Linked DNA regions of Notamacropus eugenii. The protein of the gene in region 1 purifies or fractionates together with the protein of each later gene. This does not show direct contact. Links are inferred from orthologs where the notes say so. Each region holds a gene or a part of one and is shown on either strand. Other genes may lie near its edges.

Region 1 (6,722 bases):
GACATTGAAGTTCACAGTGGTCACACAGCTCATGAGCTTCTGATATAGGACTTGAACTCAGATATTCTCAATTCCAATACCAGCCTCCTATCTGCTATGCAGGTTGTGGAAAAACACAGCCAAACATACCTTAAACAATTTGGAAATAATTTCTGAGTTTCATTTTAAAGGAACAAAGTTGAACCTCAAATTCCAAACCAAATAGAAGGGATATGTCAAGTGAGGCTCTGAGCCCCATCCAGAATTTTCCCCTTCACACTTGGCTCTATCCCCTTGTCCTTCCTATTTCTAGGATGTTTTGCTTTCTCTAAATCAACAGATTGGAGACACTGAACACCTGGGAACCTTGGGGAGGACTCTCAGGGCTGGGATGAGCTAAAGGCGGGGCAGGAGTAGGAGGGCAATAAAAGACAAAATTAATTCTGCTCCCTTCTCTCCTACAGGATGTCAAAAGCACACTGGAAAAGTAAGTGACTCCTCCTTGGACCAGCTGCCTGTGGTGGGGGGATCAAGGTCAGACAGGGCCTTAGTGTGGGAGAGAAAGGTCCCTAGCACTGAGAGGCACGAGGTCACTGGAATGGCCTTGACAGCACCCTCTTCTCCCAGTTTATTGCTTATATTTCCCTAAACACTGAGCGATGACGGAATTCAATCCTGTCTCAATCTACCAGTTGGAATGGGACCTAGAGGAGATGGAATAAAGGGGTACCAAGGGACCTATAGAGAACTCGGAAAGGAGAGGTTATTTGGGGACCCTGTGCTGCCCCTCCCATCTTCCCCCACCTAGCAGACTGGATTAAGGGAGAGAATCAAACAGGAGAGGAATTCTTGGCGGTAGTTTAGGGAGCAAGAAATGGGAAGGACTGGAGATCACAGCTTCTCTTTGAAGACTTGGATAGCTGTGACCCAGTTGCTTAGGGCATTTCCTTGATCTGGCCCCTTATCCCCACTCCCACCCCACCCCCTCCCAGATGTGAGAAGGTGAAGACCATGGAGGTGACCTCGGTCTCCATTGAGCTGGAAAAGAACTTCAGCAGCTTTCCCCGACAGTACTTTGCCCTAAGGAAGATCCTTAAACAGCTGATGGGTGAGTTGGGCCAAAAAGAGAACTAGCTGCAAGAATATATAGGGAGGAGAGGTTCCTTAGGTCTTTCCCCTCTGCCTCCTGAACCCTTCCTCACCCACCCACCTCCCTTGACTGGCCTCCAGTCTCTCCTTATTCTTTCTTTCTCATACCCTCAGCCTTGTCATCTCTCCTTCCCAACTTACTATTTCCCTCTTTCTGGCCCTCAGTCTTTGCCCTTCCCCCTCTTCAATACATTGGGGCAGATTTTAGTGAACCAAAAAAATGGAGAAAGCTGAAACCTGAATTAATCCCCCCCTAGCCAATTAGCTTTTGGATAGTCAAGAGTTTGCTCTAAGTGAACACATTGGGATTAGAATGAAAATAGTATTCTCCCTCCATCATGGAACATGAAGGATTAAAAATCAACTAAATATAGTGATTGGGGGATAATAGAGAAGATAGGCCTTACAGAGTTAGGTCCATTGCATCTTTCCCACCTTCTCCCTTACTCTGGCCTCTTCCTGCAGCGGATGTGATCCTGGACCCAGAGACAGCTCACCCTAACCTAGTCCTATCAGAGGACCGAAAAAGTGTCAAGTTTGTGGAAACTCGGCTTCGGGACTTACCTGATACACCTCGGCGCTTTACCTTTTACCCCTGTGTCCTGGCCACAGAGGGCTTCACCTCAGGTCGTCACTACTGGGAGGTGGAGGTGGGTGATAAGACCCACTGGGCAGTAGGTGTGTGCCAGGACTCTGTGAGCAGAAAAGGCGAGCTAACTCCACTACCTGAGACAGGATACTGGAGGGTGCGACTGTGGAATGGGGACAAATATGCAGCCACGACCTCACCTTTCACCCCTCTCTGCATAAAAGTGAAACCCAAGCGGGTGGGTGTATTCCTGGACTATGAGGCTGGCACATTGTCTTTCTACAATGTCACTGACCGCTCCCACATCTATACTTTTACTGATACCTTCACTGAAAAACTCTGGCCACTCTTCTACCCGGGTATCCGAGCAGGGCGAAAGAATGCAGCACCTCTTACCATTCGGCCTCCTACAGATTGGGAATGATGATGGGAAGGAACAGGGTGGGATGTTGAAGTAATGATGACAGGGGAGACAGGTATTTGGAACTGTGTCTCTTAATTTCCTGTGTCCTGCTGCTAGAGGTTTCCTTACTGTCAGGCTTATGTCCTGTATTCTCCTGGAGAAAGTGAGGTAGTGGGAGGGAAGGTTGTCCTAGGAAAGAGACTGGGCCTGGAAGAGAGTCTCAAGAGATCACACATCTGGAGACTGTTCTTTTCCCATTATGTGAAGAGGAGAGGGGAGAGGTTTACTGAAGGTAAGGCTGTCTTGGTTGCCTGCACTGTGCTCCACCAGTTTCCTCATTGCAGGAGGACTTTAGGTGGTCCCCTTCCCTCCAAAACAGAAGTAGGTTCGGAGAACCCTAAAGCCTCTGCCCACCCATTTTGGGTGATTCTATATGCCCAGGACAGTTTTGTTCCTTTGAGGGAAGCAGGATAATCTCTGTATCCCTAGAATGAAATAAAGGTTAATTGTCAGTCACATGGGAAGAAGAGTGTTAAAGTTGGTCTGGGGCAAAGTCTAAAAAAATGGGGAAAGAAGAGTTAGGAAAGGGGTTTGAAGAGGAGCCAGAGGAGGTTCCAGCAACAGGGAAGAATAGAAAATGAGCCTCCTCTTGTCACTTTACCCTAGCCAGGTGTGGTGGAGAAGAAGAAAAAGCAATACCTCCTCCAGCTTTCATGGAGTCAACCTATCTATCTATTTCCCCTGGTGAGGGGTAGAGACAGAAATGTTTTGAGCCCAGAAATGGCAGACACTACTCTGGATGACTCAGGAATTGTAGATAGAGAAAGAATTGTTTCAACTTGTCCTTGCCCTGAAGAGGGTTTGAATAGCTTGGGGCTCAAGCACAAAGGTAATGGGGAAGTAGCAGGATTGGGGTGGGGGTGAGGGGAAGCACTGGATTTGGGCTTTGGAAACAGGTTCAAATCCTGGTTCTATCATTTAGTGGCTGTATGATCTTTAGCCAGTTTCTTGCCTCATCTGTTAAATGATGGGGCAGATTATCTCTGAGATTCCTTCTATCTTATTTTAATACTGACTGTGCCATTAATGGAACTAGAAATATATGTTTCTCCTCACCCATCCACTCTTTATACTTGGGGCTGTCAGGATGGGTGGGGTGGGGCCCCACAGCCATTATAAGTTTATAAACTGGGATTTCCTACAGCCTGTCTTTAAATCCTGAATCCAAGCTTCTAAACCTATTACCCTTTATCATACCTGATTACCACCATGTTCAAACTAAGTCTGGCCAAAGTAGAAAAAAGGCAGATATGTTGCCAAAAGCATTACACAGTCCAAAACCAAATCGTTTGTGGCTGTTGGTAACCAAGACTTCACATACAAACAGGCATCACCATCACAAGCTTATAGAGTGAATCAGATTTGTCCTGGCTCCCTGCCCCACCTCCCTTTAAAGAAAGGTTTTATCTTTAATTCTTTGCCTAGGCCCCTATTTTTGTTGGTTATTACTGGGCTAGTAAAGTTATGGGAAATAATATTAACCCTTAAATATGTTAATACTGAGCTCTAGTGAAAAGCTAATAGCATCTATTTTGTGGAGAACAAAGCAGAATAAGGTTAAAAATCTGCCTACCATCTTTCTAATTCATCAGGACTAGAGGTAGAGAACTAATACCTTTTCATTTCAGTTAAGTTATTCACACATATGATCACAGAACTAGAACTGGGAGGAGCCATAGAGGCACTTTACAGATGAGGGAACGGGTTCATGGAGGTTAGAGAGTCACAGTGACAGGTAGCATGAGAATTCAGGCCTGCCTCCAAAGCCAAGCCAGTACTCCTTTACTTTTGGCCAGACCTATGATTTCACTAATTCCTCGTTAGGCCACAAAGTTTGATAGTTTCCCAGGGCATCCACTTAAAAGTGGCATTAAGGTCACAGGGCCAGTACATATCCTACAGTAGATACAAATGTACACTTTCCTGATTCAAAAGCTAGCCCTCTATCATGTTCTAGAAGGCATCTAAAAGTGTGATGAGAAAAAAATCTGTAATTTTTTTTTTTTTTAATCTCTAGCACTACTCATCCTTGCTTGTGGGGGCATCTTGGGATATGAGTTTCCAGCAGATCTACACTACCCTTTTTGTCTCCGGTCCCTCCACTGTCATGTGAAAAGGAAAGCTTGTTTTCCTTAGCACTTAAGGCTTGCCAAGTGCTTTATGTCATCTTATGCTCCCATACCCTTGTTTGGAAGGTTAAGATTTCATGATCTTTGAATATGGGAAAAGATGTGAGATGCTTCTGTCCTGTAACCTTGAAGAAATAGAAAAGGTTATACAACCCTACAAGGCAGACACTGTAGTGAAAGGCGCTGGAGCTGGAGTCTTAAGGACCAGTTTGAGCTCCGACCTTATTAGCTGTGATTTTAGGTAACTCATTTTGGCCCTGTTTCTTAAGCTGTAAAAGTGTTGGATTGTGATCTCCTTAAGTTCTAAATGTTGCTTTTCCATCACTAGTTACTCCCTCTCTGTTTATCGAGATTTGGCAGGTCTTGGGTGGAGTTAGAGAGTCCCACGAAGAAAGCAAAAGGGGATCTTTGACACCTGAATTCCTAGTGACATAGAAATTGGGACGGGGGAGTAGAGGGTCGAGTTAGGATAGAAAGGTGACAGAACGGAGGCAAAGAGGGTTTAAACGAGTTGCACGTGGTTGCACAATAAGTGGCCCGCTATGCTTAGGAGGCGGGGCCTGGGTGGAAGTATCCGCCGTAGGAGGGGGAGGTTCCCCTTTTGAAAGTATTTGCTTATGTAAAGACCGGGGAGACTACAACTCCCAGCAGGCACCGCGCGTGTAGTACGCGGGGCGGGGTGGCGTTCGAGGAGGCCGGGGTGTGTACGGACTGCAGAGGTGATGGCGGGGCAGGTGAAGGATAAGGAGGCTTTTCAGAGGCTCAGCTTCCTGTACCAGGTAAGGGTGCGACGGAGAGAAGGGCAGGGGAAGCGGGGCGGGCGGGTTCGCGTGGGCCCAGGAACGACCAGCGCCGCTTCCCCCTCGCTAGGCTGCCCACTGCGTCTTGGCCCAGAACCCCGAGAACCAGGCGCTGGCGAGGTTTTACTGCCACACGGAAAGAACCATCGGCAAGCGGCTCGTCCTGCGACAGTGAGGCTGCGCGGGGGGGGGGCGGGGGGGCACCTGGGCGGCGGGGGAGGCCCGACGGTGACTTCATGTCGGTCCTCGCCCGCTAAGGGACCCTTCGGTCAAGAGGACCCTGTGTCGCAGCTGCTCCTCCCTGCTCATCCCCGGCCTGACCTGCACCCAGCGGCAGCGGCGTGAGTGTTCCCGCCGCCCTGAAGGGACGAAGTGGGAGTGGTGACGGGCCGGACCGCCTTACGTTCTGGTTTAGGAACTCGTGGGCCACGCCAGGTTATCTCTAGCCTTTGTCGTCTTTACTGGTGAAGCCCCACCTCGGGAAACTGGGTTGGGAGTCCCCGTCTGTAATGTTTAGGGGCCGCTGGAAGCTTTAGGGCTGGGGACCCGTGGGAGGCCAGACAGGCCTTCTCTACACACTCTGCCCCAACCCCTCCAAGGTCGCCTGGGCCAGCGCTGGACCGTCCAGACTTGTCTAACGTGCCGTCGAAGCCGCAGATTTCTCAATGACCCCAGACACCAGCTCTGGGGGGACCGGCCTGAGGCCCAGCTGGGGAACCAGGCCGGTGAGGAGATGAAAATATTCCTAATCGCCAGGTGGAATAAAAATATGGGATGAATTAATCAGGGGAAGACCTTATATCAAGTGGGATGGGAGGATGGAGGTAGAGTCTGGGTGGATGCCAAGGGACACTGTTGTGGATCGAGCTTTTTCTGCTTCTGTCTCCAGACCTCAAATCCACTAGGTCTGTAGCCCACACAAGCCATCAAGTCTCAGCCCAGCCATCAGGGGAAAAATTGCACCATCAGGACCTCAGAATACAATGACTGAGAGGGTATCTTCTGCAAAGGCCTAGGAAATATGGGCTGTCCTTCAGATAAAATGTTCACTAAAGTACTCAAAAGTTTTGTTCTGGCTCTCTTTATTTGTGTCTCTAGCGTGTAGATCAAGTCTTTTCTTTGCCACAACTTGTAAAGAAAGAGCCCTGGAACTGGAGTATTGGAGTTAGAGAAACCAGTTTCAAATACAGTCTACAAGCTGTGGGGTACAAATGGAAATAAGAGTAGCTGTAAAACACATCCACAAATAAAAAGTCATTCTATAAACCAACTCTGAAAGTTTTGAGAGCTGGAAACCAGAACATGAGTGAAGGTCCCATTAGGCAGGGGATCCATCATGAAAGTCAGTTTGAGACCAATTCTAGCCAGGTTGGAATGGAGAAAAGAATGGTTGAAAAGACATTCTTTGAAGGAAATAACCTGTGTAAAGATGTGTTAAACCTAGTCATGAGCAATGAATTCACAGTTCCTGACATGATAGTGTTTCATAAAACCTAAAAAAAATTGAATGTAGAAAGTAGAGATCTTGGAAATCTTTTGATCCAAACCTCACATTTTACAGAGATGAAATTGATGAAGTTCAGGGGCACCCCAGGATGTTGGGGTGCAAAGTT
Region 2 (7,749 bases), on another chromosome or scaffold:
TGGGGTGCCCCTAGACCTCAACAAAGTGACTCACTTCTATCTTAAAGTAATAAAATGAAATTCACATTTCTGTCAGACATGACATTAAGAGTAAACATAAAATTATCCCATAGTTACCAAAAAGTTTTAATTGTCACTGTTTCCCAACTATTAACTTCAAAATATTCACAAGCCAAGAAATAATGCATTAACCTCCTTCTTTTTAAAAAAAACAAGGTTACTTATTAGACCACAGATCAAGGGACTCTCATAAATATAATATCCCTGACCTTAAGCAAGATATTTGATGACATCTTTCCTTATAGCCTTATGGGGAAGATGGAAAGATGGGCTGGATGATAGCAAAGTGAAATAGATTCAGAATTGGTAGAATGACCAGACTGCTTTTCTTTGTATTCCCAGTGCCTAGCATAGTGCCTTGCACACAGTAAGCACTTAATATTTGCTTGCTGTTAATGATGATAATTAATGGATTGATGTCAACCTGAGAGAAATGAAATTCAATTCTTAATTCTGAACTCCCTCAATCTGGCTCCTGCATTTCTTTTAATCTTTCAGTGTCTTCTCCCATCCTCAACTCCTTCTCTCTAATCTTAGAGGATGAGGTGATCCCCCATGGCAACGATAAGCCCAAAGTTAAGGAAGTATCCTTGATTCTACTTCATCCCCTCTGATCTCTTTCTTGACCTGGATCCATCAACTACCTCCTCTTTCACACATCTTCAGATCCATTCTCTTCTGGATCCCTCTTTTCAGTCTACTAATATGCTACTACTATCCACTGTCTTGTAATGGTTGGAGAACCAACCTCAGAGCTAGGACAGTAAGTCCAGCTGTGTGACCCTGGATAAGTCACTTAACCTATCATTGTTCTAGATAATTCTCTATTGTCCTTGAGAGGCAGTTCAGTGTAATGGATCAACCTCAGAGCTAGGACAACACGGGTTCAAGTCCCTTCTCTGACATACATAGGTTGTATGACCGTGGACAAGTCACTTAACCACTTATTGCTCTAGACAAATTTCTAAGATTTTAAATTTCACAGAAGGTGCTAATTTGCATTGGGAGAGGGTTTCCTCACTTTGCTTTTCCCTTTATGAAAGAAACAACAGGTCCAGTAACTGTCCTCCACAAATCTTGAGAACAATCACCCAGTTTTGCTTGAATCTGTCAATTGTTATTTTCCTATTTCTTCCTCTCCTAGGCAGCCAAACTTCTAGAAAGTGTGGCACACTGCTTCAATTCCTTTTTTTTTTTTTTTTGGCAAGGGTGTGGGTGGGGAAGGGGAAGGAGCTCAGCAGACTTCTGGCTGATACTCCAACATCTTGGCTCCACCTCCATTTTTATTCATTTGGTTTATTATAGTATTCATCAGAGTTCTAAAGTCTTTCAAAGTCATTTTTCTCTATACTCTTATCATTCTACAAATTGGTTTTCTAGTTCTGCTCACTTCACTCTCTATCATAGCGGTTTTCTCAGTTTCCTTAGAAATTTTCCATTTCATCATTTCTTCTAGCACATTTATATGCCATTGTTGGGGTGTAAGCTCAGTTTTCACGTTGTGTGGGATGGCTCAGATCCCTACTTAAATCAATTACTCAGAGGCCTCTCAAAGTGATGACAGAAAGTTTATTTATTAGATTCTCAAGAATCAGGCAATTCCTCTACCAGGAAAAAGCCGAAGACAAAGAAAAGGCGGTGATTTATATAGACCCTAATGCAAATCCCTCCCCCCCCTCACTGACCATTATTCTCATTAGCTGAGAATATGATCTTACATTCTAGACATGAAATCTAACCAATCCCTTTTGAAATGAAGACATTGAAGAATTAGGTAAACTTTATCCAACCATTGAGACCCTAATGTACTACACAGTTTTATATCCTTATATGGAATTATTCTGTTCTAAAAATATAGTAACCTTGAGCCTCTCAGTCTTACCTCACCCCTGGGAGAAGAATTACAATCTGAGAAGTCTTCACTAAACCTATTCCACTCAACGTGAACAGTCTCGGGTCAGGTAAAGGTGAGGGCTTCTAAACCTCAGAGCTCTCATGAGGCCCCCCCAGGGAACTGCTGGGAATTCAGGAGTGAAACATGGGCTATCTTGTTTTTCCACCTCTTCTCAGTGGAAACTTGCTGGGGAGAGCATCCCACCCTTGAGATTGGTCCTTGGTCTGAGCACACCTGCTGTTAATTAGCTAGGGGCTGGGAGCACGCACGGTATTCACGTGCAAACTATGCGGCTGGGAGAGCTTAAGTAGGGACAGGAAAGCCTGAGGGGGCCCCTTGCGTCGGGGTCCTTGGAGGGAAGAGGGTCCCTCCTCTCTTCCGCTCCTGTCCTCTTGCTGTATGATCCTTGCTCCTTGGGAGGAGAGGGGTTCCTTTCTCCTGGGGAAGAACTCGCCCTGCATATGGATACGTAACTAAGACCCTGAATAAAGCCTACCACCTTGTTTGACTCTGGAAAGTCTCTTCTCAATATGTTTATCCACCTGATCACCGAAGACCTGTGAAAGGTAAGCAGACTCGGGTAGCCCACGGCAATTAGGCCGAGCATGCCATTACATTCATATACCAATATTTGTTTAGTAATTCCTCAAAAAGAGCTGCTAAAATTATTTTTATACATATAGATCTTCTTTCCACTTTCTCTGATTTCTTTGGGAAAGTGGCCTACCAGTGATATGTGTCAATATGATAGGTGTGAGGAAGAACCTCTGAATTGCTCTTATATATTTCTAATTATTAGTGATTCAGATACTTTTTATGTGATTCTTGATAGTCTGGATTCTTTCTTTGAAAACTGCATGGTCATAACCTTTGGCCATTTATCTACTGGGCAACAGCTCTCAATAATTGGCCAATAATAGGGCCCAGGCCAAAGCCTACTTCATCTTAGTTTGGGCTCTTATTGACTCAGAGAATGTAAACAGGAATTGTTTCTGTTTTGATGAGAAACCCTGTGAGTCTTCCCCTCCCAGTGTGATTTCTTCTTTTCTGAACTAGGCTGAAGAGGTCATTCTTTGCCTCATTTATGTTTACCTAGTCAATCACTGAATGAGCATTGCCTCAGTCAAACTGAGACCTGCTGAAGACCTTAGCTTTAAAAGTCCAAGGTCTTCCATGAATCTGAGGGCCATCTCCAGTCATCTTGATGTGTATCTGGCCACTGGACCCAGATGACTCTGGAGAAGAAACTGAGGCTGGTGACTTTCAACAGCCCTCCCTCACTCAAATCCAATTCACTTGCATGTCATGGCATCACCTCCATGATGTCACGGTCCTCTGAGAACAAAGGACAAACAACAAGGGGATAGCTATTCGTCTTATAAATTTGCATCAGTTCCTAGAGAAACTAACTGCAAAGATGCCCCCCTCCTCCTTCTATCACCTGTTTCCCTTCTATTTTTTACATTAGATTTGTCTGTACAAAACCTTTAAAATTTTATATAATCAACATTGTCCATTTTATCTTACCTGATCCTTTCTGTCATTTAGTTAGTCATGAACTCTTTCCCTATCCATAGATATGAAAAGTAACCTGTCTTGGAAACAAGTCTGTATTTTAAAAAACTATTGTCTGGTTGAAGGACACAAGATTCTACAGTATCCATGGATTTAAAAATGAGCGTTATGCAGGGGAGCAGCTATGGAGGATATGAGCTGGATAGGGCAGATAACGAATAAGAAACACTGGCATTGGGCATTTTATCTGTCTCCCCCCATGTCTGAAATGCTCTCCTGCCTCTTCTCCAACTACTGCCTTCCTTTAAGTCTCAGCTAAAATCCTCTTTTCTCTAGGAACCCTTTTCAACTCCTTAATTCCACTTCTTTCCTTTGTTAATTATTTCCTGTATATAGGAAATACATATATTTGTATATAGGTTGTTGTACATATTTGTCTGCTCCATCACATTGTGAGCTTCTTGAGGGCCAGGACTGCCTTTTTTCTTTGTATCCCGAGTACTTAGCACTGTGCTTAGCACACAGTAGGGGCTACATAAATGTTTATTGACTGAAACGGGAATAAATGGCTCCGAAAGAAGCGAATGATTGGAAAACTCAGGCCTGTGCCCTGACAACGACGAGAGATTAGATGTGGATGGCCTAAGAACTATGAAGTACTGGGGCAGGTAGGTGGCACCCTGGAGAGCCTGCTGAACACAAGTCCTGAGTTCAAATTAGGATTCAGACACTTACCAGCCGAGGAGGGTCAAGTCACTTCACCTGTATCTGCCTCGGTTCCCTCATCTGTAAAATGAGGATAATACCAGCACCTGCCTCCCGGAGTGACTGTGAGCATCGAAGGAGACAGTAACTGTAAAGCGCTTAGCCCGTCGTAAGAACCATAGAAAGGTTATTCATTATTATTAGTTCACTGGTAACACGGTAATGTCAGGAAAAGCACAAAAAAAAGCTCCCTCGTGGTTAGGACCGCCCCCTCCCGTGGTTAACTTATGGGGGGGGGGGGGTCTGGTCTCTCAGGATTCATTGCAATCTACATTGTAGAAAAGAACCTCTGATCATGTGGATTCTTAAACTGACCGGGAATATAAAAGGAAGAGGAAAAGAGGAAGGAGGAAGAGGGGGATGGGAGAAGAGGGAGAAGGAGGGAGAGGAAGGAGGAAGGGAAGGAGGGGAGGCAAGGGACGGAGGAAGGAAGGAAGGAAGGAAGGAAGGAAAGACGGAAAGGGGAAGGGCTGTCTCGAGGAGGCGCACAGTCCTAGCCCCTCCCTTCCTAATTATCCTTTTCCTGGGACTGCCTCCCGAAGGTTTCGTCCAATCACGACACAGAACCGCGGGCCGCGTGTTCCCACCAACCACGTGGGAGAGCAGAGGGAAGCACTGAGCATGCGCAGCGCGGTCACTAGTTCGCAAAAATACGATATTCTCGTGCCCGGGGGTGTTTAACGGGCCCGGTGACCATGTCTACCTTGCGCAGGTTGCAGGAAACGCCACGACACTTGCTAGTGTGCGAGAAGTCCAACTTCGGCCATGGCAAGTCGCGGCACCGGCAGCACGTGGAGACGCACTACCACAACTACAGGGTGAGTCCCGCCCATGGCAACTTCCTCTCCCGCCGGCGTGGTCCGCGCCACCCCGTGGGACGAGCGGGGAGGGGAGGGCGGCGCTGCCCTCAAGCGTACCCGGACCTCGCGCCTGCTCCCCACGCCACGCCTCCTCTCCAGCCACATCCCGGAGGCCCGTGGGAGGGCGCTGGCGGGGGCGGAGGAGGATTGCACCGAGCGCCCTGGGAGTTGTAGTGTTCCGCCTTTTCTGTGGCCGAGGGTCCTGGCGCCTGGGAAAACTACAACTCCCACAATGCCGCCGGCATAGGACTCGCCTTGGGGAATCTCAGTTCTAGCCTTGGAACATCCCTGCGGAGATATCCAAGAGTCCCAATCCGTTAGTTTACGGAAGGGGAAACTGAGGAGTAAATTGAATTCAGTTTTCTAACCCCTGGTACTAGTGCCCAGTGCCATGCTGGAAGAAGTCCTGGAAATTGGTGGGCGCACTCCTGTTATCTCTTCGGTCTCCTAGAGTTTGGGGCCCCCATGGGTGTCACCCCAGGAGTGGGGGGCAGTGAGAGGAATATTGACGAGATGTTGCCGGGGCCCGGTGCTGGCTCCCCAGCCCCCAGTCCCTTACCGGTTTACTCTTCTTAGGCTCTCCCCTCCCCACCACCTTTTTGTTGAAGACTTTCCTTTTTAAGCCAAAAGACTGTGGTTAACCCCTATTTGAGGGTTACATTTCCAAAAAGTGCTAATTGGGTAGTACTCATTGTATACAATTGTAGTGTGTATGTATATACTTTGTATGTATATTACATGTATCAAAATATTGTATCGTACTAGTTGGATACAATTGTATAGTGTGTGTGTGTACACATTGTATGTATATTGTATGTATCAAAACATTGTGCAGTACTAATTGGATACAAATGCATTTGCAATCGTTCGCAGTTGCGAATCAAAGTCAGCCCCGCCTTGGGGAATGGAGGGGGTTGCTTTGTAAGGAATTTTTTTTTTATTTCGTTAAATGTCTCAATTACATGTAAAAAAAGTTATAATCATTTTTAAAAAAATTTTGATATAAATTCTCTGTGTTCTTACGCCTTGAAAAGGCAAGCAATAGGAGATCAGATTACACTTGTGAATAATGGAAGGAATTCTGAAATTACCAAAGCTCTCGCCTTTATGGAGTATATTAATCAACAAATACTTATTGATCTCTTGGTATTTGTTAGGTTCTGTGCTTAGTGCAGAGGGCACCAAGAAAAAAATGAAAATAGCTCTTGCCCTCAAAGAGCTTGAATTCTAACGGGAGAGAGATACAAAGAAGATACACTTGACTCTCTTCCCCTAATTACCATGGTGATAAAAATGTGTTTACTTAATAAAATTTAGCATGTGCTTTGATAGAGTGTACTGATGAGGTGATGGCGGGATCAGGCATTGTGACCTGTCCCTGTTTTGCAGGTATAGAAGTTAATCAAGGTGTGAAATTTATTACATGACTTATCTAAAGGTTCTCTTAAGTTACTGGTACATTTTGGAACTGAAACTGGGTGATTTCCATATCACTGTCCTCTAAAAACTTAATTTCTTCTAGACTGCTTTAATGGGAGTTTGCCATTTAACTGGAAATTTTTGTCAGGTAGGGAGTTCTTACTCCAGTAGTTGATAAACTTGGGTTTATCAAACACTCTGTTTCTATGCTTATTTGCTTCTAGGTCTTGTTTACTTTCTCTGTTTCATTGATGAATTTTTCTATTTTTGATCAGCATCAAGAAGCTTTCATAATGATTGCATTATCATATAGTTTGAGATCCAGTACTTACAGGTCTCATTCCTTCCTGCTTATTTTTTACACTATCAAGATTATTTTAGTTCTTTGAACTTGCATCACCAGTGCTAGCACAGAGCCTGGTACATTGTAGTTGTGCCAGGCGTTTAATAACTATGTTAATAGTTAGCACTGATAAATCCTTGTTGATTTAATTGCTCTTGAGATTCTTGACCTTGTGTTTCTCCAGATACATTTTGTTATTGTTTTGCTTATTTCTGTAAAATGACCTATGGTACTTCTCTGCAAATTATTTCAGTATTATCATTTTGATTATATTGACATCTGTGAACATTTAATATCCTCCAATATTTGTATTTATTTCAGTTAAGAAGTGTTTTTTAAATTCATAATCCTTCTTTCCAAAATCAACCCATTTGCTATGTCAGACTTTACATATTCCAAGGACCCTTCTTTTATCCATTTTACATTTTTTTAAAAATAAATTTCCATTTATTTATACATTTAAACACAGCTTGTTTAAATAGTTAAGTTTGAAATTCCCTCTACATTACATATAGTGCCCACCGGCTCCCTGACAAGAGGCAGGAAGCCTTTGTGACTTTTACCTGATGCTTGTCACCAACTTAATCCAGTAGTTGTGGACTAGAAAGATAAAGCCTCGGATAATGTTAGTTTAAGTATTTTACTTCCGTTTGCATTTTAAAGTGTTTTATTCGTTGCGTTTTTGTTTCTTCCTAAAGAATATCGGAGGATTGTGATGTGAAGAGTCCAAATACAGTAACTCAACTGTCTTCAATGGAGAAAATAAAATACTTTGATAGAACTATTAGAAGGTTGATCTTCCCTCCCCTACCCCCTTTAAAAAATATGCTGTGATGCTTCCAGTTTTATTCTTAAATGCTTTGGGGATGACCTGGATTAATTGAGAGCCTTGC

The links.
Region 2: the proteins of RPP21 (region 1) and RPP40 purify together in Homo sapiens (co-immunoprecipitation; 3 studies listed by BioGRID and IntAct, counting the BioPlex papers as one, with this or other methods). This does not show direct contact. The link is inferred for Notamacropus eugenii from reciprocal best matches to the Homo sapiens genes RPP21 and RPP40.

Annotation. Positions count from the first base shown.
Region 1 is NC_092873.1:84,415,955-84,422,676, forward strand, and holds RPP21 (ribonuclease P protein subunit p21), read left to right. Parts: upstream 1-4,912; 5' UTR 4,913-5,031; coding exon 5,032-5,088; intron 5,089-5,179; coding exon 5,180-5,280; intron 5,281-5,367; coding exon 5,368-5,450; intron 5,451-5,708; coding exon 5,709-5,834; coding exon of another isoform or gene 5,835-5,865; intron 5,866-5,998; coding exon 5,999-6,096; 3' UTR 6,097-6,177; downstream 6,178-6,722. Other genes in the region: E3 ubiquitin-protein ligase TRIM39, read left to right, coding at 444-466, 972-1,087, 1,594-2,141. UniProt on the Homo sapiens protein: Component of ribonuclease P, a ribonucleoprotein complex that generates mature tRNA molecules by cleaving their 5'-ends.
Region 2 is NC_092875.1:174,898,760-174,906,508, reverse strand, and holds the start of RPP40 (ribonuclease P protein subunit p40), read left to right. Parts: upstream 1-4,705; 5' UTR 4,706-4,929; coding exon 4,930-5,052; intron 5,053-7,749. UniProt on the Homo sapiens protein: Component of ribonuclease P, a ribonucleoprotein complex that generates mature tRNA molecules by cleaving their 5'-ends. Also a component of the MRP ribonuclease complex, which cleaves pre-rRNA sequences.